Bombyx mori: one gene and its partner. The protein of the gene in region 2 purifies or fractionates together with the protein of the main gene of each other region. This does not show direct contact. Links are inferred from orthologs where the notes say so. Each region holds a gene or a part of one and is shown on either strand. Other genes may lie near its edges. The genes, in order: dystrophin, isoforms A/C/F/G/H; tensin-1.

The links.
Region 1: the proteins of tensin-1 (region 2) and dystrophin, isoforms A/C/F/G/H purify together in Homo sapiens (affinity purification with mass spectrometry; 3 studies listed by BioGRID and IntAct, with this or other methods). This does not show direct contact. The link is inferred for Bombyx mori from reciprocal best matches to the Homo sapiens genes TNS2 and DMD.

Annotation. Positions count from the first base shown.
Region 1 is NC_085113.1:13,354,328-13,361,303, forward strand, and holds part of dystrophin, isoforms A/C/F/G/H, read right to left. Parts: intron 6,965-6,976; coding exon 6,751-6,964; intron 6,327-6,750; coding exon 6,215-6,326; intron 5,309-6,214; coding exon 5,188-5,308; intron 4,762-5,187; coding exon 4,629-4,761; intron 4,387-4,628; coding exon 4,246-4,386; intron 4,166-4,245; coding exon 4,033-4,165; intron 3,474-4,032; coding exon 3,345-3,473; intron 3,082-3,344; coding exon 2,958-3,081; intron 2,690-2,957; coding exon 2,612-2,689; intron 1,221-2,611; coding exon 1,108-1,220; 3' UTR 1-1,107. UniProt on the Homo sapiens protein: Anchors the extracellular matrix to the cytoskeleton via F-actin. Ligand for dystroglycan.
Region 2 is NC_085110.1:9,858,234-9,865,209, reverse strand, and holds part of tensin-1, read right to left. Parts: intron 6,236-6,976; coding exon 6,063-6,235; intron 5,223-6,062; coding exon 4,973-5,222; intron 4,390-4,972; coding exon 4,233-4,389; intron 3,553-4,232; coding exon 3,380-3,552; intron 1,130-3,379; coding exon 1,015-1,129; intron 321-1,014; coding exon 282-320; 3' UTR 1-281. UniProt on the Homo sapiens protein: Tyrosine-protein phosphatase which regulates cell motility, proliferation and muscle-response to insulin. Phosphatase activity is mediated by binding to phosphatidylinositol-3,4,5-triphosphate (PtdIns(3,4,5)P3) via the SH2 domain.

The DNA of each region.
Region 1 (6,976 bases), on a different chromosome or scaffold from region 2:
TTTTCAATACATAGCAAAAATGATATGAGAGTATCCAAACAGTGATATGAATGTATTAATAAAGATTGTAAGTAGGTATAATACTAACAAGATATGTTCTTAAAATATTATTATTTTAGTACCAAAAACATTTCGGTACAATTTTTATTGTTAAAATATATAGAATATAATATATAAATGCTCGTTACATTGTCTTTTTCGTTGGATTGCTGTGTTCTGGCAGCACTGGCGCTAGCTTTAGGGGGGGACAACGAAAATAGTAGAAAATCTGAAAGAGTTGCCACGTCAAATAAAAAATAACAGAAATGGCGGATAGTTCGACTCAATCACGATACGTACTGCAACAATGGCGCGCCCTTATTTATACAATAAGCGTTGCATACGATTATCGTTAATATTTAAAAAAAACAAACAACTGCTGTGAACTAATTTGATTTGGTACATGTTCCATTGAAATTTAACTTTTAATTTTACGGCAGATGATACAAGACACTGATGGGACTACGCAATTTAAAGTTTGTGGTATTTTCAGAAAATATCAAATAGTGATTCATTATAAAAATGTAATCTTAATACGTTTGTTTTCAGTTTTAATTTCCGTAATGCAGTTAAAGAGGCGCACTCTCTATATCCCTTAATTGTTATTAATGTCCTAACTTCTTACGGTATGGTTTTCTTAGTTTAATCAGGAGACTGCCATTTTATGGATTGTATTGTACCAAATCAAGATAAAATCTCGTATTAGTTCCACATAGCTGTCAACTTACAGGCTTCTACTTTTTTGTGATCCCCTGGAAGCCATAAAGCTCAGGTTAGGAAACGCGTGGAATGTTTTATAAAAAGCTTTTGTATAAAAGTTAAGGACAGTCAATGTACAGTGCAATTTGTTAGTGATGAGTCGAAAATTAGTAATCATTAAAAGAAATTGTGACCAACAAGAAATTAATTAAAACGGTATCTCTATAAAGCAACACCATTGTAGAATAAATCTTTGGTTATGCTCAGTGTTGCCAGAACGTTGGGCGCGGTAGTTTGATTGCTTCGAATATAGCAACATTATATTGAAAGCACCGTGCGCGCGTAAGGTTCGCGTCGTTTTCGAGCCGTTCATTCGTTGTTTGCCGGTTTCCCGTTCGTGTACTGCGGTGGCGCGTTGCTCGGCGTGCCGGAGTCCTCGGACATCACCGAGACGAGCTCTTCTACGGCACGGCCCAAGTCATCTGAAAAAGTGTAAACAAATTTAAGCATTATTATGAACAAATTACGAATTATTTTCCCAACTTTTTGGCTGTACTTTTCGTTATGTACAGAATTCCGATGCCTTGTCTTCAGAATCTTGCGTTTTTTTTTGTTGCCTTGTAGGCAGACGAGCATACGGCCCACCTGGTGGTGAGTGGTTACCGTCACCCATGGACTTCAACAATGCCAGGGGCAGAGCCATGCCGCTGCGTTTCATTAAGAAGCTAATTTTCAATGCTAGAATCCATAATAACATTTTAAGATTATGTACTTAATAACTCGCTCAATAAGCTGTATTTTATATTGCGTATAATATACTAAAATTAGTGATCGCAGTTTCGAATAAATCAGCTGCGACACAGACAGAACATTTTTCAAACATTTTAAATCGTAACTAAGTCAGCCTTAGGGTTTGGAGTTCCATATCGGTTATAGATAGGTTCCTTATAGGTTGGGATTAGATATAGTCATTTGTTTTATCCACTCATCACTGCCTGATAGAAAACTCACGTAAAATTCAAGATAACGCGAAATAAGTAAAGGTAAAGAAAACCATGGAACTAGTGCCGAATAATTAAATCCCATGTTTAATAAAAAAAAAAGTTGATTACCTCAGGGTATGCGTCCTGTTTTGAATGCAGTAGAAAACAAAGAGAATGACGATATAATTAATTTTTAATGATTAATTCTATTAGGTTTCTGTACATGCAACAACCATGCAAACACAAGCCTAGATTTCAAATAAACAAAGTTACATCTGGCATCATATTTTAGCAAATATAAATTTAAATATTTTAAGGTTTAAAATTTATCGTGATATTTTTGTGCTGGCAACATTTCAAAAACAGACGAAGGAAGCATAAAACCCAAATTGTGATTACAATGAATTTTAGATTTATACGCAATTGTAGTTTAATCAGTTCACACGGCTTCAGCTGAATCTTGAGTTCACAACACCCAACTTATGACTTAAGTACGTGAAATTTTCATTAAATGCCAAATATATATTTTGACACGAATTCACTCAATGTGAACAGGGATCTCAAGCAAAATCGGATAGCATAGTGTTCAGAGTTTTGACCGATCGGCATTATCCGTTGTTTGGAGGTGGTGACAAGCTTCGTTTCTTTGAACAGCTACGAATCGCATTTACTACAGTACTACTTATTACTACAATACGAATCGTAATTGCCAAAATGATTAAACTAGTTAAAATTCGACAATTCCACTGTATTATTGAGAAATCATTGAACACAAATTATATTTAGATTTTTTAAAAAGCTTGAGTTATTTGAACGTAAATCTTTTAAAATCTAAAACAATTGCACAAAAAGCGAAACAAAAGTGTGAACACATTATTGACACCGCTGACCTGCGCAGTGCATGAGGGAGTGCACGGTGTGCGGGGGCGGGGGGGGCCGCTCGGCGCCAGCCCAACGAGCGCCGCCATCTTGTACGCCATTACAACAAAATGGCCGACGTTATTTAAACGAATTTCAAAGCATTACTTTTTTTATATTTGAACTGACATATAAGTGTTACCAGATTTTTACCATTGTTTTTAATTAGCACTCAAGTCGCTGCGATTTTCTGTCGCTACTCAGTGGTACAGAAAAATCAGACCTTTAAAGTAGTAAACTATAATTTATACTAAGAAATTTTAAGTTCTTAATCTAAATATTTCAAATTAAAAACATTAAAAGCATTACTGAACATACTTGTTTGTGACTCGTGGTAGAGTCCATTGTGCATTTTGGCTGGTGAATCAGTTGCAAGCTGCGAAGCGGTCACCGAACGTGTCTGTAATGTTCCGGTGCGCGCTGGGGGCGAGCCCTGGGCCGGCTGGAAGTGTTTATAACAATGTCAGTGATATAAGGAAATCCATTGGATGCAGACAGCGCGGGACTTGGCAGAGGTCCATGTACGTCAGTGATGAAATACAATTCAAGTTCCTTACACAGTTTAGTTTTGTTTTTTATTGAAAGGCAAACGAGTCCTCGGGCATCGCGAATATTGCCACGTGGCAGCTTATTAATTTTATCGTGCTAGTTTACCAGCGAGGTTGGGTGAGATTGGGTGAGGTTGAGAGGGACTGGACTGCCTACCTCGTCGAGTAAGGTGCGTAGACGCTGCAGCTGAGCTTCGAGTTGTCTGTTGTGTTCCTCCAGAATGTGCATGCGAGCCTCCAGCCGGCCCTTGTGCTGACGGAGAAGACGAGCCTCGGCCATCATGTCCTGAAATATATTTCCGATTCATCGTATGCACTGTGCTGTGAAGACTGATGAATGCACGGGCGAGCTATAGTCATAACCGCAGTTGGTGCCGTAGAGTCATCTCATAACTCATAGCGACGATTCGACGCTAAGTGAATGACGGATTAGAGGGCGGAACACCCCTACACACATCTTGAACTCCTGTCTTAAGGGGACAGCATTCACGCTGTACTGTCGGTATATTCCAGTGATCAGCTAACACCAGGTGGGCCGTGAGCTCATCATAATAAATAAGTACAACTTGTGATTATTATATTTAGATTCTGAGGACTGTTTTGGGACCATCTGTTTATTATTTTATACTGGAACCGCGGTTAGTAGAGCTATGATCAAGAAAGGTTCACAAGCACCAATTTAGTATATTCTAAATGAGTATTTGTATGCTTAGACGTCACAACACATGTGTGACGTCACGTCACGTCAAGCCACGTTACGCCAAGTCCGGTCACGTAGCGCCAGACACAACATCAACATCCCTCCTGTAGAAGCCAGAATTATTTGTATTATAAGTTCCTCTGACCTGGTCTACCGGTCCGCTGCGGCTATTGTCGCTGACGCCGTGCTGCTGCTCCTCGGGCGTGGAGCCTGGAGTCTGCTTAGCCTTCAGACGCTCGTACTCCGCTTGGAGACTTGCGTTTTCTTCTTCCAGTTCCCTATAAATAAAGATGTTTTGAAAGTGATAAGGAATGTTTAACTGCATTGCCCTAACCGCATGTGTCTGTGTGTAGTGTACCTAATCATGGCCTCGAGTTCGTGTCTCTGCTCGCGGTGGATAATGGAGACCACTTGCACAGGCGAGCGAGGAGCTTCTTCGGACTCCCCTCCGCCGTTCAGTGAGGCGCAGTACTGAGCTATGAGCTGATGTTCTTCATCGCTGTAACGGTAAAGGATGTAATGGTTAGTTTCAATTTCATGATAAGAAGACCTAAGAGTAATTATAGCCTTCAAAGTATATTCAATATTCTGTCGATGCGCGAGATCAAAGTTGCGATGGGGTGGGACGGGACGAGACGGGTCGTGGCGTAGCGGAACGGGACGGTGCGGTGCGCGGCGGGGCGCGGCGGGGCGCGGCGGTGCGGGGCGGGGCGCGGCGGTGCGCGGCGGGGCGAGGTGTACCTGTCGGGAGTGTCGGCGGCGCTGAGCTCGACCTGCGCGAGGCGGGTGGCGTACAGCTCGAGGCGCGAGTGCATGTCGGGGCCGAGGGACGCGCCGTGCTGCGGAGAGGGAGCGGGGGACTCCAGAGCATCACCTGCACATAAACAAATTTATTACATTAATTACATTTACCAAGAATTACAAAAACTGTCAATTACAAAAATTCATCATGTGAATATGATATGGCCCCGGAAGGTGGGGCTGTCACAATGCGTTCCCGTCAGAACAATATTCTCGACCGAATTTTTTCAACAGTTGGGTCTGGTTCTTGCTCTCACCCTTAATGAGACAGAACTCAACTGAGGACATGTATAATCTGCCGTCCTTTATAAGATGCGCGTGACCGTACCTAGGTCGTCTTCGTCCTCACACCAGCATACGGAGCACACGGCTAGTTTCGGATAAGATCCCGTTAAGCTTACATCTTAAGTGGTAACGAGGTGCCTAAGTTAAGATCATACAATCAGGTTTTTTTAATTAATTATTCACATCAAATTAACAACTGAAACTATCCTCTTACCTTCTAAAACGGTTTGTACAGGCAAGTACCCGACCCTGGGGTGCTTCTTGAAGTAGCGCGCCGACTTGAACTTGTTGCGGAGCGCCCTCGTGAAGTCGCGCACGTCCTCTCCCGACGTCGTCTGAAGCGAGAGTGACGTGACCAATTGTTTTGTGGGTGGAAACATTTTTTTTTGAAATTACTAAGAAATAGAGGCTTAGCAAATGATAGGGTTTTAGGGGTTCTGTGTTCTGCTCAATTGACAGACTTTTTTTTTATTGCTTAGGTCGGTGGACGAGCTCACAGCCCACCTGGTGTCAAGTGGTTACCGGAGCCCGTAGACACCTACAACGTAAATGCGCCACCCACCTCGAGATATAAGTTCTACGGTCTCAAGTATAGTTACAACGGCTGCCCCACCCTTCAAACGGAAACGCATAGCTGCTTGACGGCTGAAATAGGCAGGATGGTGGTACCAACCCGTGCGGACTCACAAGAGGTCCTACCACCAGTAATGTTATATTAATATATCTGTAGGACACCGCTAAAGAATAAAATCCTGTAAATAGATGTATGTTGAGAGGTTTTTTATTAATACTCTTGTCTTCAGGGTACAGCGAAAGAACACAATGTTTTTGAAGTTATACTTCTTTAGGTGCGTTATAAAAATTGATGAGAGTGAAATTTTATGATGAAGTTGCCCACTAAATCGCTCATTACAATACGACTGACGTAACTTGGTGAGTCTGAATATAGCCGCAGGTAAACTTTCCGAACTGAGAATTACCGAATTTATACGATGTCAAAGTTCAGATGTTTATACAATGTTCAACTTGATTAAAATTTAAATAAATAAAAAAGAAATAAATTATAAAAAATACAGTATAACTTCTTACGCACGTACATAAGTACACGCACCCTTTTTTTTATAATTATCACTGTAACATTTTATCAGATATGCGAGATTGACATTAAGCCTTCCTAGGGATCGATTCATATATTTGCAGTCTCCACTAAAAATGAACGTGTATTGATTGTGCGCACTCACCGCAGTGCAGTACTCCTGCATCGGATGCGTCAATTTGTGGTTCTTGGCCTTCCGGCCGTTGAAGAAGCACTTTTGACACATGTCGAAGTTGAAGCACTTGAGGCAGCGGTACCTGCGGGCGGGGGCGGACCTGGTTAGCTCGGCTCGACCATACAATACTGTATTAGTTTGGTGTCGGTTTTTGGAACATCCGACTGTATGGGCTGTGTTAGACTTTCTGGTATTTTAGCATTTAGTCATGTTGTGTCGTTTCCAATTTAGTCTGGCAGCCAATAGTCTTGGAATAAAATCATATGTTGTACGGTCATAGAATATTACTTTCAGAATTACTGTAAGTTCGCTTTTAGCGATAAGACCGCCCATTGTATCTGCTTGTTGACTGTTTTCTAGTGTTAATTGTGTTTTGGTGTGCAATAAAGTATGTCCTCTCTCTCTCTCTCTCTCTCTCTCCCTCTCTCTCACCATCCCTCTCTCTCACCATCCCTCTCTCTCACCCTCCCTCTCTCTCCCCCTCCCTCTCCCTCACTCTCTCTTACCTGAACCCAACGATAGGATAGTCCTTGCAGATGTTGCACTTGGCTTGGTGGCGGGCCCCCTCGGCGGCGGCCAGGCGGTGCAGCACGGGCAGCCACACCATGGACTGCGGCTCGCGCTGCAGCCACTGCAGGAACTGGAACGCTTCGATGTACTGGACCTGGCCGTCCGCGTCTCGCTCGACTGGCTTCTCTTTCGTTTCATCCTTTTCTTTTTCTGGAGGAAAAC
Region 2 (6,976 bases):
TTATATTAATATGATGTAGTATTAATTATAATTATATTAAAACATAACATCGTTAATTGTACTTGGTGAAAACGAAGCGTATTTGAAAATGATAATCTTTGAAATGTTGCATTAAAAACGTTTAAAGCATAAATACATCGTTACTATGTACTTAAATACAACAAGTTAATTTATATGAACTTAGATAAATATAATAGATTAAGTTTGATTACAACAAGGTTTTTTTTTTTTAAATAACGACTGTAGCTTTTTTGTATTTTCTCTCGAACGAAAAATGTTCATTATAGAATGTCCCTCTTCTGAACATTTCCCAGCAGAGCCTGAAAGTATTAAATGTTGCATTTAAAATTATTATTATATTAGTTCACACGTCATTCATTCAACGATAATGTCGAGGGATGAATACCTATTTGGTTGAAGCAACATATTTGCAACTTTACAAGATGGCTGTTGAAAGTATAAAATTTGAAAAAAATATCAAAACAAAAAAACGTCGTTCAGATACTTGAATAGAATAAGCTTAACTGAAATTCAATTAAAAAAAACCATCGAACTGTTGATGGTAATACCAAATAAAACGCACCTTTAATTACAAAGATAAATGTCGCGTATTAAGTGAAATCTCGCTTAAATCAACTGCCTTTCACCCCTCATTCGTTCATATTGATTTAGTTAAGAGATGATCGGAATCTATAACTGAACGCGCCATCACTCGCTTCGAAACGAGGTCCAAGTCTTAATTGTGTACGTAGTTTTTTTCGTTGCTTAGATGGGTGAACGAGCTCACAGTTCACCTGGTGTTAAGTGGTTACTGGAGCCCATAGAATTCTTTAACGTAAATGCGCCACCCACCTTGAGATATAAGTTCTAAGTTTTCAGTATAGTTACAACGGCTGCTCCACCCTTCAAACCGAAACGCATTACTGCTTCACGGCAGAAATAGGCAGGGCGGTGGTACCTACCCGGGCGGACTCAAGAGGTCCTACCACCAGTATAAAAATTGTTAAAACAAACCTTGTTAACAAAGTTGACGATGGCAGTAGCCGGCTGCTCAGGTTCGAGTTCGGCGAACACGTGGCACTGGTTGTCTTGCCCTGATGCGGACCGAGCGACGAATGCGAATATCCGTCTAAAACAAACAGGGTGATAGGAGCTTATCGTCGTTGTCAAACCAAAATCTGCTATTTTCGAAGCTGGGTGTAATGATTCCGCTGTACAAAGCAAGGAGGCCAGCACTGCGTGAACAAGAGTGTCAGTACAAGAAAGCGCTGGAAAGTGAGATTACTCTGATTTCCTTGTGGTCGAGCTGGGAACAAGAGGAACGATCTCGTTTGCTTTCTAAATATTTTTGGTATCCTCAACGACGATTTGGCCTTTATGACAAAGACGCAAAGTGCTCTATGCTTTGTTATTAATGACAACGACTGAATCGGTTACGTTCTCAAGTTGAATCATGTTTGAGTGCCCAGACTCAATATGGCCGACATGGTGTATGTTAGTCGAGGTCTGGACAGTGTGCCAACCATCGGTCCGGCGTCTCGAGAGGACTAATCGAGGTGAGTGGACATTGACAATCTAGTCAATCTCCTAATTGCGCGTTTTGCGCTGACGGGTAACAAGGCAATGAGTGGCGAAAATATCGGATTGAGTCGAAGCGCGTTCGACTCCCACACATCATTTCTTATTCTCAAAACGTGAGATGGTCCTTCTGACCCATACAATAAATCGTCTTCTCGCATTAATACTATCTAATCTCAAAACTTATTAATTTTACAGGAGAGTGTTTTAAAGGTTTAAAATATGTGATATTTTTAATATTAATCATCTTTGCAACATTTATTTTTTATTTTCTACCAGTTACATATCACTGGCCGACATCATTTTCCTTGTTCAAGTTCTGATTATTTTTTTCCACTAATTTGGTAGTGCTGATCACGAAATTATACCTCATTTTATCGTATCACATCAGGTTTTTAAAAAAGTTAAGACATTAGCTATTTTAAATTTTTTGATTAAAATAAATTAAATTTTAGATTTTGGCGCTCTTTTCTCGAATCGTGCGACCTCTCGTGAGGAAATATATTTGTTGCAACAACGACACACCCATTCGAAACAGGTTACATGCAAATAAACCTGTACAGTTACTTTGTTTATAAACTTTTTACTGAAATTAGTGTGTTTATTTAAAAAAAATCTTACGTTTTACTTATATATATATATATATATTTTTTTTATAGCTTTTTTACTTATATACAAAATTTCCATGCTTCTTGTGCGAGTGGGACAGTAGAGCACGAGACAAGCACTACGTTCAAAAATGATGGAATCCTCGTAAAAATCTCAAACTAGGAACAAAAAACGTTATACGAAAAATATAATTAGTCCTGAAAAAAATTTACTACCTCCGCTTCATATCAAACTCGGTATGATGAAAGAGTTCGTTAAAGCATTGGATAAAAACAATGCTAGTTTTGAATACCTGTGTAAAAAAATTCCAAGATTATCTGATGCAAAAATTAAAGAAGCAGTGTTTGATGGACCGCAATTCAGATCTTTGATGGCTGATGAAAAATTTGATGCCACAATGAATAACACTGAATCAGATGCTTGGCTGGCGTTCAAAGATGTTGTCAACAATTTTCTAGGAAATAATAAACATCCCGACTATAAAAATAAGGTTGCAAACTTATTGGATAAGTATCAAAAATTGGGGTGTAATATGAGCATAAAACTCCACTTTTTAGATTCACATGTGGAATTTTTTCCTGATAATCTTGGTGATTACAGTGAAGAGCAGGGAGAAAGGTTTCATCAGGACATAAAAACTATGGAGACAAGGTACCAAGGTCGATGGAATGTGAATGTGGATGGTGTCACTCTAAATAGTCCTGCAGCATTGTTTAGACTCAACGTTTTCTTTGTAAATGTTCAAATATATTTTTTGTAGTATGATTATTGATTTTTTGGTGAAATTTTGAAAAAAAATGCTATTTCCTTCTTTTAAAAAATTCTGATGTGATAGGGCAAATATGTAGGTGTTTTTGTGTTTAAAATAGTATAAATTGGTGATATTTGTGGCTCAAATACAAACAACTTTCAAAAAATTTTCATTTGTCGGCCGGTGATCTGTCTTTTAAAGTAAGATAAAATTATGTATTAATTTTGTTAATAGTAGTCAAAACATAGGTAAACAAAAAAAAAAAAACAAACTAAACTACGCTCTTTTGACAGTACTTACGAGAAAAATACTGGTGATACCAAATGATTCCGCATATTAAATCAATTTCAAATATTTTTGGAAATTGTACACTTTTAATGCGAAAAGACGAAACGAGACCGAATCTTGGTTTTAGTTAATGAGAGTATTATAAAGTCTTACTTTTCGGTTTGCGTAGCGTTGTCTACGTGTGTGTACCGGCGCTCGTCGGGATCGAGTCCTGCATACGAGACGGCGGCGGCGGGGTAGTGGCGCCGGAAGAACAGTTTGCGCGCCGAGTCCGTAAGCGTGATGCCGCCGCCGAACACCTTCAAGTGGACCACGTGACCTGCGCTCTGAAACATCACACACTCGTAAAACTCAACAACACTACAAAAATAAATAATTTTATTGTTTTTTCTCCTACCGACGCCGAAAGCTCGGTTTTCGTCCCGCTGTACAGGGAAGAAAGTGTAACTTTTCCGTCCCTGGGTACTGACAAGTGCGCATGCGCATTAGTGTCTACGTCTGCTCTCACGCACTTACTATATTCTATTGTTACATGCTTCAAACAATATGTCGGATATCCATGTCCTAATTGTTCAATTTAAACATATTAAATTATATTATTGTATTTCATATATTTGTGGGAGCATTTTAAAATAAAACTCTGTCTAAATAACTAATCTAAAACTTAAAGTTTCCCTATTAAATTTAGAATTAAAAACGAAACTTCAAAGAGTTTGATAAACAATAGCGTTTTCTATAACAAATCTTTTTTAAATATATCGAATGGAAGGGATAATTTTAAAAACGTACATGACATATACAAAGTCCTTTTGTCTGTAACTAGTTTTACCCAGAAAAAAAAAGTTTTCTTGTAATTTTGTAACTTGAAGTACCTACATAATCTTAAATTGTGGGTGCAAATTTATAATTTTGTTCATATCCTAACCCCTTAATTTCATTTTGGTTACTGAAAGCAGATAGTTTAACAGTTTCATTTCGGAAACGTTGTGCCAAATGGAAGACATACCTTCCTCTGCAGTACATTTCCGACGGCTCTCTTGACGGCCGCCGGTCCCGTTAGAGCCTCTGTGTTCTCGGAGCCTAGTAGCAGCACGTGGCACGCGGCGCCGGTCGCCAGTAGGGCGCGTGCTGCCGCGTTGGGGGTGCCGTCTGACCATGGATCCCTGGTGCAACAGTATCGTTCGTGTATTACACAACTTCAATGGTTTAATTGAAATTTTATGTCCCACGATCTCACGGCCTGATCACGCAGTTAACGCTGAGTGTATGCGTAAAAAAGTATTTCGCGGTATAAAAGCCATATTATACTCATACAGATAAACTCGTCTCGATTGAACGTAGCTGGGCTCATGGCGAAAAGAAATTTTGTGTCTGTGTGTGTGTGAGAATCTAGGTTTAGTTACTGAATCTTCTGTTGTTTTCAGCCCACATAATATCTCGCAGGATCTTCTCAGTGGGTCGCGTTTCCGATCCGATAGTAGATTCTGCGAAGAACTGCTTTTGCTAGGGCCAGTGTTAGCAACACTCCGGTTTGAGCCCCGAGAGCTCACCTACACGTTAGGGTGAAGCTGAAATAGCCTCTCAAGCCTATCAGCATAGGTAGGAACAAACAAATTGTTGTTTCAGGAATTTACCGATTACTATGATTATCGTTGAAGATTGTTAGAAGTGAGATAGGATAGAAGGCCAATACCAATGGACAGCATTAGATGTCGGTTGCAATGCTAGAAAAAGAGATAAAGCTACCTATCGGGCAAGCGCAGTGGCACGGGCAGCGCGAGCGGTGTGACAGAGTGCTGGTACACGAGTGCCGAGAGCGAGCTGAAGACTGGCTCGTCGGGCGATCCGCGCAGGCGCACCCCGCGCGGAGCCGTCTCCACTAGGAAGTGACGCACGCCGCCCCCCGCGCGCACCGCCACTCCAAACGCGCCCGGGAACGAGTTCGAGTCCCGCACGATGAAAGAACCCTCCTCTAGCTGCTGGAGCGCTGCCACCGCTGGATAACCCAAACAATATCTACATATTAATACGTGAAGCAAAAAATTTGTACGCCTTTTTATGAAAATGTGTTTATTGTTATTGTTTAAAGCCTGTGGTCAAATTGAGAATAGATTAATATTGTTTTCTTTTTTATTGCCTTTGTAGGCAGACGAGCATACGGCCCAACTGATGGTAAGTGGTGGTTTGTCTTGGCGAAATCTGTGATTATAGAAGTATAATAATAGTCTTTGACAATAGAACCGGAATAAAGTTCAAATTTATAATTTCAATTAATTATTGTCGCATTTCGAATACTGGGGGACCACTAGTAATTTTAATTATTCGATGTTAACTGCATGAGATTAACTTTTGAACACACCATATTAAATATATATATATTTTTATTACTTTAATCGGCAAACCATCAAATCAAGCGCTTGGTATTAAGTCATTCTCGAATCATATAGATATCACAGAAACTTCTTCCAAATGTCTCAACGCCGGCGGCGGCATTCACGAGTTCATTCACCCGTCTATGTAACAAGCAATTGTTTCTGACGCTAGTCCACAGACACAGCTCACTGAGTTTCTCGGCGGATCTTCTTAGTGGGTCGCGATTCCGTTTCAGTGGTAGATTCAGTGAACCACTACTCTTGTTAGGGCAGATTTTAGCAAGGTCTCCCAGGCTGAGACCCGTGTGCTCGCATACATCATACGTCATATGGCGGTCAAGCCATAATAACTTCTCAAGGTTACTGGCAGTAAGTTTAAAAAAAGAATACTGATCGCATTATTTTTTCTATAATTATTTTCAAAGATCGATCCGTAACATAGTATAGGAGCGAGCGATGCTCACCATCGTCCCTGGAGATGTTGGGTTTGTACCAGTAGTGGCTGGTGTCCCTCGCGAACCGCACGCGGTCCGGCGCCACGTGGTGCGGCTCGCTCACGCTGGAGCGGCGCGAGTGCGACCCCACGCTGCCGTTGTACGTGCGGTATTCGGACTCCGGACTGCCTTCCCGCTCTTTCCTAATAAAACATACAAACATTCATATTTTACTAGTGGTACAGTAGTCTAAATTCGACTACTAGTGGTCCCCCAGTAGTCGAAATTCGACTATATAATCAATTGAAATTACAAGTTTAAACATGAGATAAATAACATAAAAGAGATTTTTTTCCTACCTATGCTAATAGGCTCGAGAGGCTAATTCAGCTTCACCTAACTTGTAGGTGAGCTCACAGGGCTCAAACCGGAGTGTTGCTAACACTGGCTCTAGCAAGAGCAGTGCTTCGCAGAATCTACCACCGGCTCGGAAACGCGACCCACTGAGAAGATCCGGCGAGAAACTCAGTGGGCTGTGTCTATGGGTTAATTCACTCGTCGAGCCCTTCGTCGTAAGCAACAGGTTCGACTAGGACGGTGATTGCAAGCGACGGGTTCGACGAGGACGGTATTAAAGAGACAAAAAATATTAATCTATTCTCAATTTTACCACAGATTTTAACAATAAACAAAAGAGTATATGTATATCAGTGTTTGTGTGTGTCAAATACATGGTAGTGTGTGTAATGATTTTTTTATTGATTTTATATATTTTATATCCATAATTTAAAAAAAATATTAGCATTCTGAACTCCTTCTCTTCTCTCCTCCGCCTGCGCAATTATCGTAAAAAGCGGTACAAAGTTTTTACTTCACGTATTAATATATAGATTTCTAAATTATATTGTGATGAAACCTTGCCACGCTCTCGCTACAGAGATTCT